Linked DNA regions of Caenorhabditis elegans. The protein of the gene in region 2 interacts with the protein of the main gene of each other region in a pairwise test. Each region holds a gene or a part of one and is shown on either strand. Other genes may lie near its edges.

Region 1 (3,755 bases), on a different chromosome or scaffold from region 2:
GTTGGAACACCGATTATGTACATCAAATTTAAGACTGTGCTACTTGATAATGTGAGTTTTTAAAAACTGAGTGTACTGGAAAAAACATTTTACGTTTCAGATTTCTGAAGCTACAAAGGCTGGCTGTTCTAAAGAAGAATCCGAAATCAAGAAGCTAAAGGAGTTAAAAAATGCGCTGATCGGCCAACAAGAATTGAAGAAGAAGAAAAAGAAAAAAGGAGTCAATCCATTGTCGTGCAAGAAGAAAATTATGAAAGCGTCTGTGGATATCGTCAGAACTGGAGAGAGAACTGCTTCAGGAAAGAGGAAAAGGACAAAAAAGAAGGGATCCTCCATGGATGAAGAGTAAAACATAATGATCTCTTCCGTTTTTACTTGTTTTTGTTGATTTTTAATTTTTTTTCTGTTGAATGAAAATTCATTTTGTGAACGCAGATTTTTTTTTAAGATTTTTATTACAAAATGCGACATTTGAACATAAAAAATACAATCCAGTCTGGTACATATTAGGAGAGGAATGCAGGTAACATTTTAGGGGTTGAAAAGTGAATTTTAATACGAAATTAATGAAGTAAAGCTTGGGTTTGTCAATTTCAGCATCTAGTGGGCAGTAGCGTGGTTTCCATTGATGATGGAGAGCAGAGCGTCACGGTAGGCTCCAGAAGTGTCTCCCTTCACTGTGTCGGCCAAGCTCTTAGAGTAGAGCTCTTGGAATTCGGCCTTGATGAGCTCCAAGTCGACTTCGGAACGAGTGACGATGACACGGATCAAGTCGTTATCGCGAGTTCCGAGTCCTTTCATGGAAGCGTGGAGCTGCTGAGCGAAGAACTTCTGCTTGTCGGAAGCGGCACGGACAATGGTGAGGTAGGATTTCTGGAGATCTCCGGAAAACTCCTTCTCGATGCTTTTCTCGATAGAGCCACCAGCGAGTTCCTGGAAGTAGGCGAAGACCTTGCGGAGCTGGTATTGATTTTGAGTGGCGAGGATGTGAAGGAAGTGTGTTCCGTCCTTCTTGGCAAGCTTGGCTTTTCCGTCGGCGAACAGGCGAACAGCATCCTAAAATAAGAAAATGAATAATTGATCACAGTGAAAAAATAAAGAAAACTTACATCCTTGGCCTGAGCGTCGTTGGTATCATGAGATCCGTCTTTGGATCCAGTGACCAAGCTGACCAAAAGATCACGGAATTCTCCAGAAGTATCTCCAGCGATGTCAGCTTCCAAAGCCTTTCCATACTCCTTCTCGTAGGTCACACGAATGGCGCGGAGTTGATCAACAGTTCTGGAGCACAAAATCTCGATGAGCACAGCCTCGTCAGTTCCCAATCCCTTCATGGCAGCCTTAAGCTGCTTCACATCATAATCCAATGGAGTTTCCATGAGAGCGAAGATGGCCTTCTCGAGATCTCCAGAGAACTTCTTGTCAAGAGCCTGGATGATGTCCTTTCCGTACTTGAGCTTGTATGGCTCGCGGAGCTGCTGGCGCTGAGCGTTGGAGATCGAGGTGATGACGTTGACAACAGCGTCCTTCTCTCCGGCACGAAGAGCACGGTCGATCTTCTCAGCGAACATCGGAGCATTGAACTCTCTAGCGTCGACGATTGTAGCGTATGGGGAAGTCATTCTGGAAACAAACGTGTAATTATTAGGTTTTAAAAGTAAGAAAGAAGCAGAAAAATGGAAGAAAATGAATGGATAAATGAGATGGCGTCTAATATTTATATTTTTCAGTTTTTTGTTTTTAAAAAATTCGGCGAATACAAATTTGTTTACACAGTTTGTTTACTACTGTATACAGTTGGTACGCATTCTTGCGGTGTTTGCGGGTAGTGCATCACAAATTACGCCATGTTTTTCAAGAATGTTTTAAACAATTATATAATTAATTTTTGTTTATGGGTTAAGTGAAAATATCTACTTATATATAGGATGTTTGTAATCTTTTTTGAAATGGAAAAATCCAGGCACTTGTTCCAATCCTGGCCAGAGAGAAATAAATGAACATATTTCTGGACAAGAAAACCGTCAACTGATAAGCAAAATGAAATGACAACACTGAAACAAAAATGACTGTTCACTGAGTGGTAAAGAGGGGCATCTGGGGACGACTAAAAGGAAGAGCGCCGCTGGGGGAGAAAATGGGCGGAGCCAAGAGGGTGATTCATCGCAAACGATAGGAGAGATAGAGATTGAGAGAGAAAACAAAAACAACAGAAAACAGTGGAGAAGAAACATAGGCGGATGATGAAATACAGATAATATTGGATCTTCTTTGTCTTTTTTTTGAGGCAATTGAAAAAATTGAAATTAAACGAAAATTGCGAAAGTTATGACTCATTAGGTTATATAGGTTCTAAATTCTAAATTTAGAATTCATATAAATGATCTAATGTAACACCTCTTCAGGTCCATACCAAAAGTGTTTATGGGGGTGAATTTTAATTTAGAAGCGAAAAAACCAGCATCTTCTCTCGTTTCTCAAATTTCATGCTATCATTTCTTGTTTTTTAACTGGAGTCCCGAAATGAGGGATCGATTTCCTTGTTGTTTTCCCTCCAACAAACATTTTTCCTGCCGGTTCAGGGACACCAACAGGCACCGATCTTCTACCAATTTTTTGTGTCCGTTCGCACATTGAATGACCTGTACGATCGGTGTAGTGTTCTAGTTGATGTGTAACGGAGAGAGAGAGAGAGAGGATGATTCATGGTGTATGGGTAGAAACAAAAATTGTGAAAATTAGAAATTTTTGTGATGAAAAAAACAGAGTTTTTTTGGTAAGAAATGCAAAAACGAGGAGAGCATGACTAAGAAATTTTGTGTTATTAGAAAAATGAACAAATTAAAGTCAAGTTTTTGAGAGCTTGCCCTTCAATGTTGACTGAAATGAAATTTCGTGAACAATTTCGGGCAGTTCAACCTTTTTTGAAACTGGCCCAAAGTTTCTCGAAACGGATTTTCTACGATTTTTCAAAGATTTATTGGAAAAGTTCCTTTTATAAACTTGCGCCATACCTTGCCCAGACTTAGTTTAAGCCGGGCCAATCTTTGATACGAATTTGTTTTTGACTAGTGAGTTGGTTTGAACTTGGGTAAGGTTTTGGCAAGAATTGGATGAAATTTGAGATAAACTTTGGCACGGCCTAAAGTATTTTCCAAGTATTTTCGAAGTTTAGCCCTAGTTTTGTCAACTTCTAAACTGAGTTAATATTTTATGAGTCGCCAAATGCCGAGAAATTAGATGAAGCGTTTTAAATTTTTTGTTAAGCATTCCTACGAGTTGCTTAGATAACTCTATTCGCGGCGTTTCATTTTCTAGATAACTGAGAGTTTTATCAAAATATGTGGAATAGCCATATATTACTTCCGTGGCATATGCAAATGTTCTTGTTGATGTATACTATGTGGAATTTGAATGGTTCACAAGGCCATTGGTCAACGATCAAATTTGTCAACATAAATTGAAAAAGACCGCGTATATAACTGTGGCCAATCTTTTTTTTTGGTTGGTATTGAGGGAATAAAAGGATTTGGAGAGTATTTTCAAAAGTATAGGAAGTTAATAACTGTACATTAAATGGGATTTTATTAATGGAGAGGAGAATAAAAAAGTTCAAGAAACGGATTGGTCTTGATGTAGTAGCATGTTCAGATGAATTGACCTTTTTGGGGAACAATTGGAAAACAGAGAGAACGGACTATACACATGTTGCAAACGTTATTTTGTTTGAATTCAAAAAAGAACAATATGAATGT
Region 2 (3,755 bases):
AATTTCGCTAATTTAAAACGAGTAAAGATTCTGTATTAATTTAAAGCAAAAAAAAAAACAATTTGAAAATATTAAAAACCAGTTAGAAACAGTAAATTTTTTATTTCTCATGACCATGAAACATAAGCACATTTTCCAAGTTGGAATGCTCTGTAAAACGAAATAATTGATAGAAAAATTTCAATTTATATCTAACTGTAAATGACCCTTATTAGGATGTAATACAGAAGGATAATCGATAACAATTCATTTTCCATATTGAATATGAGTAACCTGAAACAGTAAACTTTTCATCCAACTTTCTGTAAATTTTGCTGTGCCTTTTGTGTTATTTCAATTAAAAATTGCCATTGATACTTGACTTATCTGAAACAAGATACATTTTTTCTAAAAATTTGAACTTGTAAGTCTTATAAGCTCTATTAATTACCTAGTTTGAACAAAAAACGAAACTTCAGCTCACTAACTAGTGAAATCGAACTTCGAAGTAATGTTTGACAATTTTTGCTTTCCGACAATAGCAGCATTAAACTTGAAAAAAATTTAAATATTGAGAAACATTATTCGATTCATATGTAAGCAATCTGAAACAATATATATGTTTTCTAAAATATTATACTACCTTCATTTTCAACACTGTATTACCCCATTTTATACATTCAGACAATATCAGTAATCTGAAACAGTATTGTTTTCTTCTCAAGTTTGAAATCTTTAAGGTTCCATATAGAAATAGCCCCAGTATAATTTTTTTTTCAATTTCTTTTTCCCGGTATATTCAGATTACTTGTCAGATTGTTATAAAATTTCCAGACTCTAAGCCAATTTTAAAACACGCAAAATTATTTCAGCTTGGCCGAAAAAAAATTAAAAAAAACTAAATTTTCGGTTTCAACACCACATTTTATAATCCTCAAAATGCTAGAACAGTAGTGAGAAATAATAATAGAACTTCATACACTCAGAATAAAAAACTGGAATAAATCTAGCAACGTATAAATAAAATGTTGGTATTTTTAAAGACAACTTGAAACAGTGGAAAAATGTTAAAATTTTCCAAAATTTCCGTCAAATCGTCGTTCACCCAAAATTTGAAAATTTTCCAGATTTTTCAAATTGTTTTCCAATAAAAAATATTTGAATAAAAACCACAAAAACATACATACTTTCGAACATTTTTAGAACATTTGAACAGTAATTTGTCGCGTCGAGACCCGATACAGTAATTTTCGCGCAAAATTTCACGGTTGGGTAATACAAGTAGAACCTTAAATGTTCATGTTCAGCTCATTTTATAATAACTTGAAAAAACCACTACTGTTTCAAAATTAATTTGAACGATTTTTTTTTTGAAAAAAAAAACATATTTTTCTCTAATCCCTCAATAATATCTCCATTTTTTTCCGTCCCCCCAATCATCACAGATATCAGCTGAGACAGGGGAAAAGTGGTGTGAAAACACACAAGTCTCTGCGTCTAGCGGTGTGTAACACTGTCTGCGTCTCTGTGCTCTCTTTGATACTCTCTCCCGTGTGTGTGTGTGCTCCTGGAGCTCTTATACATTTCCAAGTGTTTCTGCTCTCTGCATCTCTTGCCCATTTTCCGCTTTTTTGAGCCAACAACTTCTCATTAGTTTTTTCCTTCGAGTTCTTGTGCAGAGCCACGGCTCTTTCAACAACTCGCACAAATTGAAAGTTTTCGCAATTTTTTCTTGCATTGCACGTACATATTTTCTTTTTTTTTTTCATAATTATTGATGAAAATGAATATGTTTTGTCAAGCGAATATGCTACATTGAAAGTTTTCAGAAACAGTGAAAAATCAAATTGAAATTAACAAAATCTTTCAAAATTTAATCACTTATTTGAAACAGTAAAAAATTTTTTAAAGTATACGTCGATTCTGAAAATACACTGAAAATGAAATAAAATTCTTGAAACTGTAAAAAAATTTTTAACCAATTTTTTTTCACAAATTTTTCTTTGAAAACGTTTCCTTTTTATTACCTCCTTGTCTTCCCATTCCCTTCATTAAAAATCTGAAATTTCCAGACATGATGGGCTCATCGTCGCAAGAGCTTCAAACAGCTCTAACCGACGTCTCAAAGACCTGCCATCACTTGTGGGAAGAGAATAAGGACCTCCAAGGCAGATTTGTGAATGAACTCGGCGAGCTTCAACGTCTGCAAATGGTCATTGCACAGCTGGAACAGCAACAGAGACTAGAAAATGTATTCACTGTGAAACAGCAAATGACAGAGTTACAGAAAAGAGCAGCCACACTTTATGAGCATTTGACACAGAAAAGAAATGATATTGTCATTAAACTTAATGATGGCACCAATTTTGCGACGATGCTACAGGTTGGTTCTTCTAATGTGAAAAAATATGAAAAAAACATAAAAAAAATTTTACTGTTTCAAAGTTTTGTGAAATATGAATTAAAATTTTTTACTTTACTTGACTGTCGAAGACCATTTCCATTAAAAAACTCTAATACAAGATTTACTTTTTTGAAAAATCCTTCAAATTTTGAAGAATTTTGCATGTTCAGTAAATTCATGCTAAAAATATTTTTATTCTTTTAATGTTTCAAGTGAATGTTTTGTTTAAAAAAAGCATTAAGAAATCTTTTAATATGAAATTACATCAAAAATGAACTGAAATACAAAAATTAATTAAAAATTTAATGTTTCCCATGCATTTCATATATTGAACGCGCGAAAATGTCATACTTTAAAACTGGCCTGCAATCTAGCTCTCTTATCTGAAAAAAAGTTAGTTATAATATTTACAGTTTCACACTTTTATCAAATTTAATCTTTTTTTTCCTTTTACATTGATTTTGCATAAAATTTGACAATTTTTTTTAAAGAGAAATATTTTTAAAAAAATACTGTTTCACAGTTTAATCAAATTTTCTATGCGTTGCAATATTTTAATCAATCTTCATTTCCAGACCCAACTAATTGGCGAAAAGCTGTTCTCCTGGAAAAATGCCCAAAAACTTGCCCAAATCGGAATGCCTTTCGATAATCGCGAACAGCTGCTTGATGAAATTCAAATTGAATTCGAATTTCTCGCTGATCAAAACTGGCAGCTTAACATGTTCTCGTGTTGGATGCTCGACTTGCTCCGACGTGCTCCACAGTTAAATGATGGGCTCGCTCAGGCAACAATTGGAAAGTTGACTGCAATTACAGAACAATTGAACAAATTACTTTTTATGCTGGTTTCACAGAGTTTTATTGTTTCCGTTCAACCGGAACCTGTTTTGAAGACTCAACATAAATTTGTCACTGAGGTTTGTTTTTTAATGGAAATTATACATGTCAAATTTTGGTGGGTCCCGCCGCGAAAACCACACCGTCGTGACGAGACCCAACTTAGTTAGAATTCAAGCAAATTATAAGAAACAATAAAAAAAAATTCAAAAATTTTAATTAAAACTTTACCGTTTCAAAAGTCATTCAAATAAATATGTAAGTCATACTCAACAATTTTATTTAAGAAGTTCAATTCGAATATAATGTGTGCCACGCATTTGTTCAGCTTGAAAATTTCTGGGTCCCACCACAAAAACTACAGTTCCACCCCACCTAATTTTACGGGTTACTGTAGTTTCCGCTGTGGGACGCAGCAATTTCAGAATCCTGATTTTTCAATAAAATTACAAAAAAAAACTAAAATTTCCAGGTCCGTCTTCTCATTGGCGATAAGCTGGGAATTCGTCAACACCTGGTGAACACAAATGTT

What was found. Proteins that work in one complex are often made in the same cells at the same time.
Region 1: the proteins of sta-1 (region 2) and nex-1 interact in a two-hybrid assay, tested with the Caenorhabditis elegans proteins (one large-scale study listed by BioGRID).

Annotation. Positions count from the first base shown.
Region 1 is NC_003281.10:5,223,491-5,227,245, reverse strand, and holds nex-1 (Annexin), read right to left. Parts: upstream 1,626-3,755; 5' UTR 1,623-1,625; coding exon 1,110-1,622; intron 1,057-1,109; coding exon 601-1,056; 3' UTR 442-600; downstream 1-441. Other genes in the region: C34E10.10 (rRNA-processing protein UTP23 homolog), read left to right, coding at 1-51, 101-349.
Region 2 is NC_003282.8:16,662,269-16,666,023, forward strand, and holds the start of sta-1 (Signal transducer and activator of transcription 1), read left to right. Parts: upstream 1-2,051; 5' UTR 2,052-2,053; coding exon 2,054-2,362; intron 2,363-2,458; exon of another isoform or gene 2,459-2,479; intron 2,480-2,734; exon of another isoform or gene 2,735-2,755; intron 2,756-2,838; exon of another isoform or gene 2,839-2,859; intron 2,860-2,941; exon of another isoform or gene 2,942-2,958; coding exon 2,959-3,303; intron 3,304-3,316; exon of another isoform or gene 3,317-3,337; intron 3,338-3,499; exon of another isoform or gene 3,500-3,520; intron 3,521-3,695; coding exon 3,696-3,755. UniProt on the Caenorhabditis elegans protein: Carries out a dual function: signal transduction and activation of transcription. Activated STAT proteins play a role in repression of dauer formation.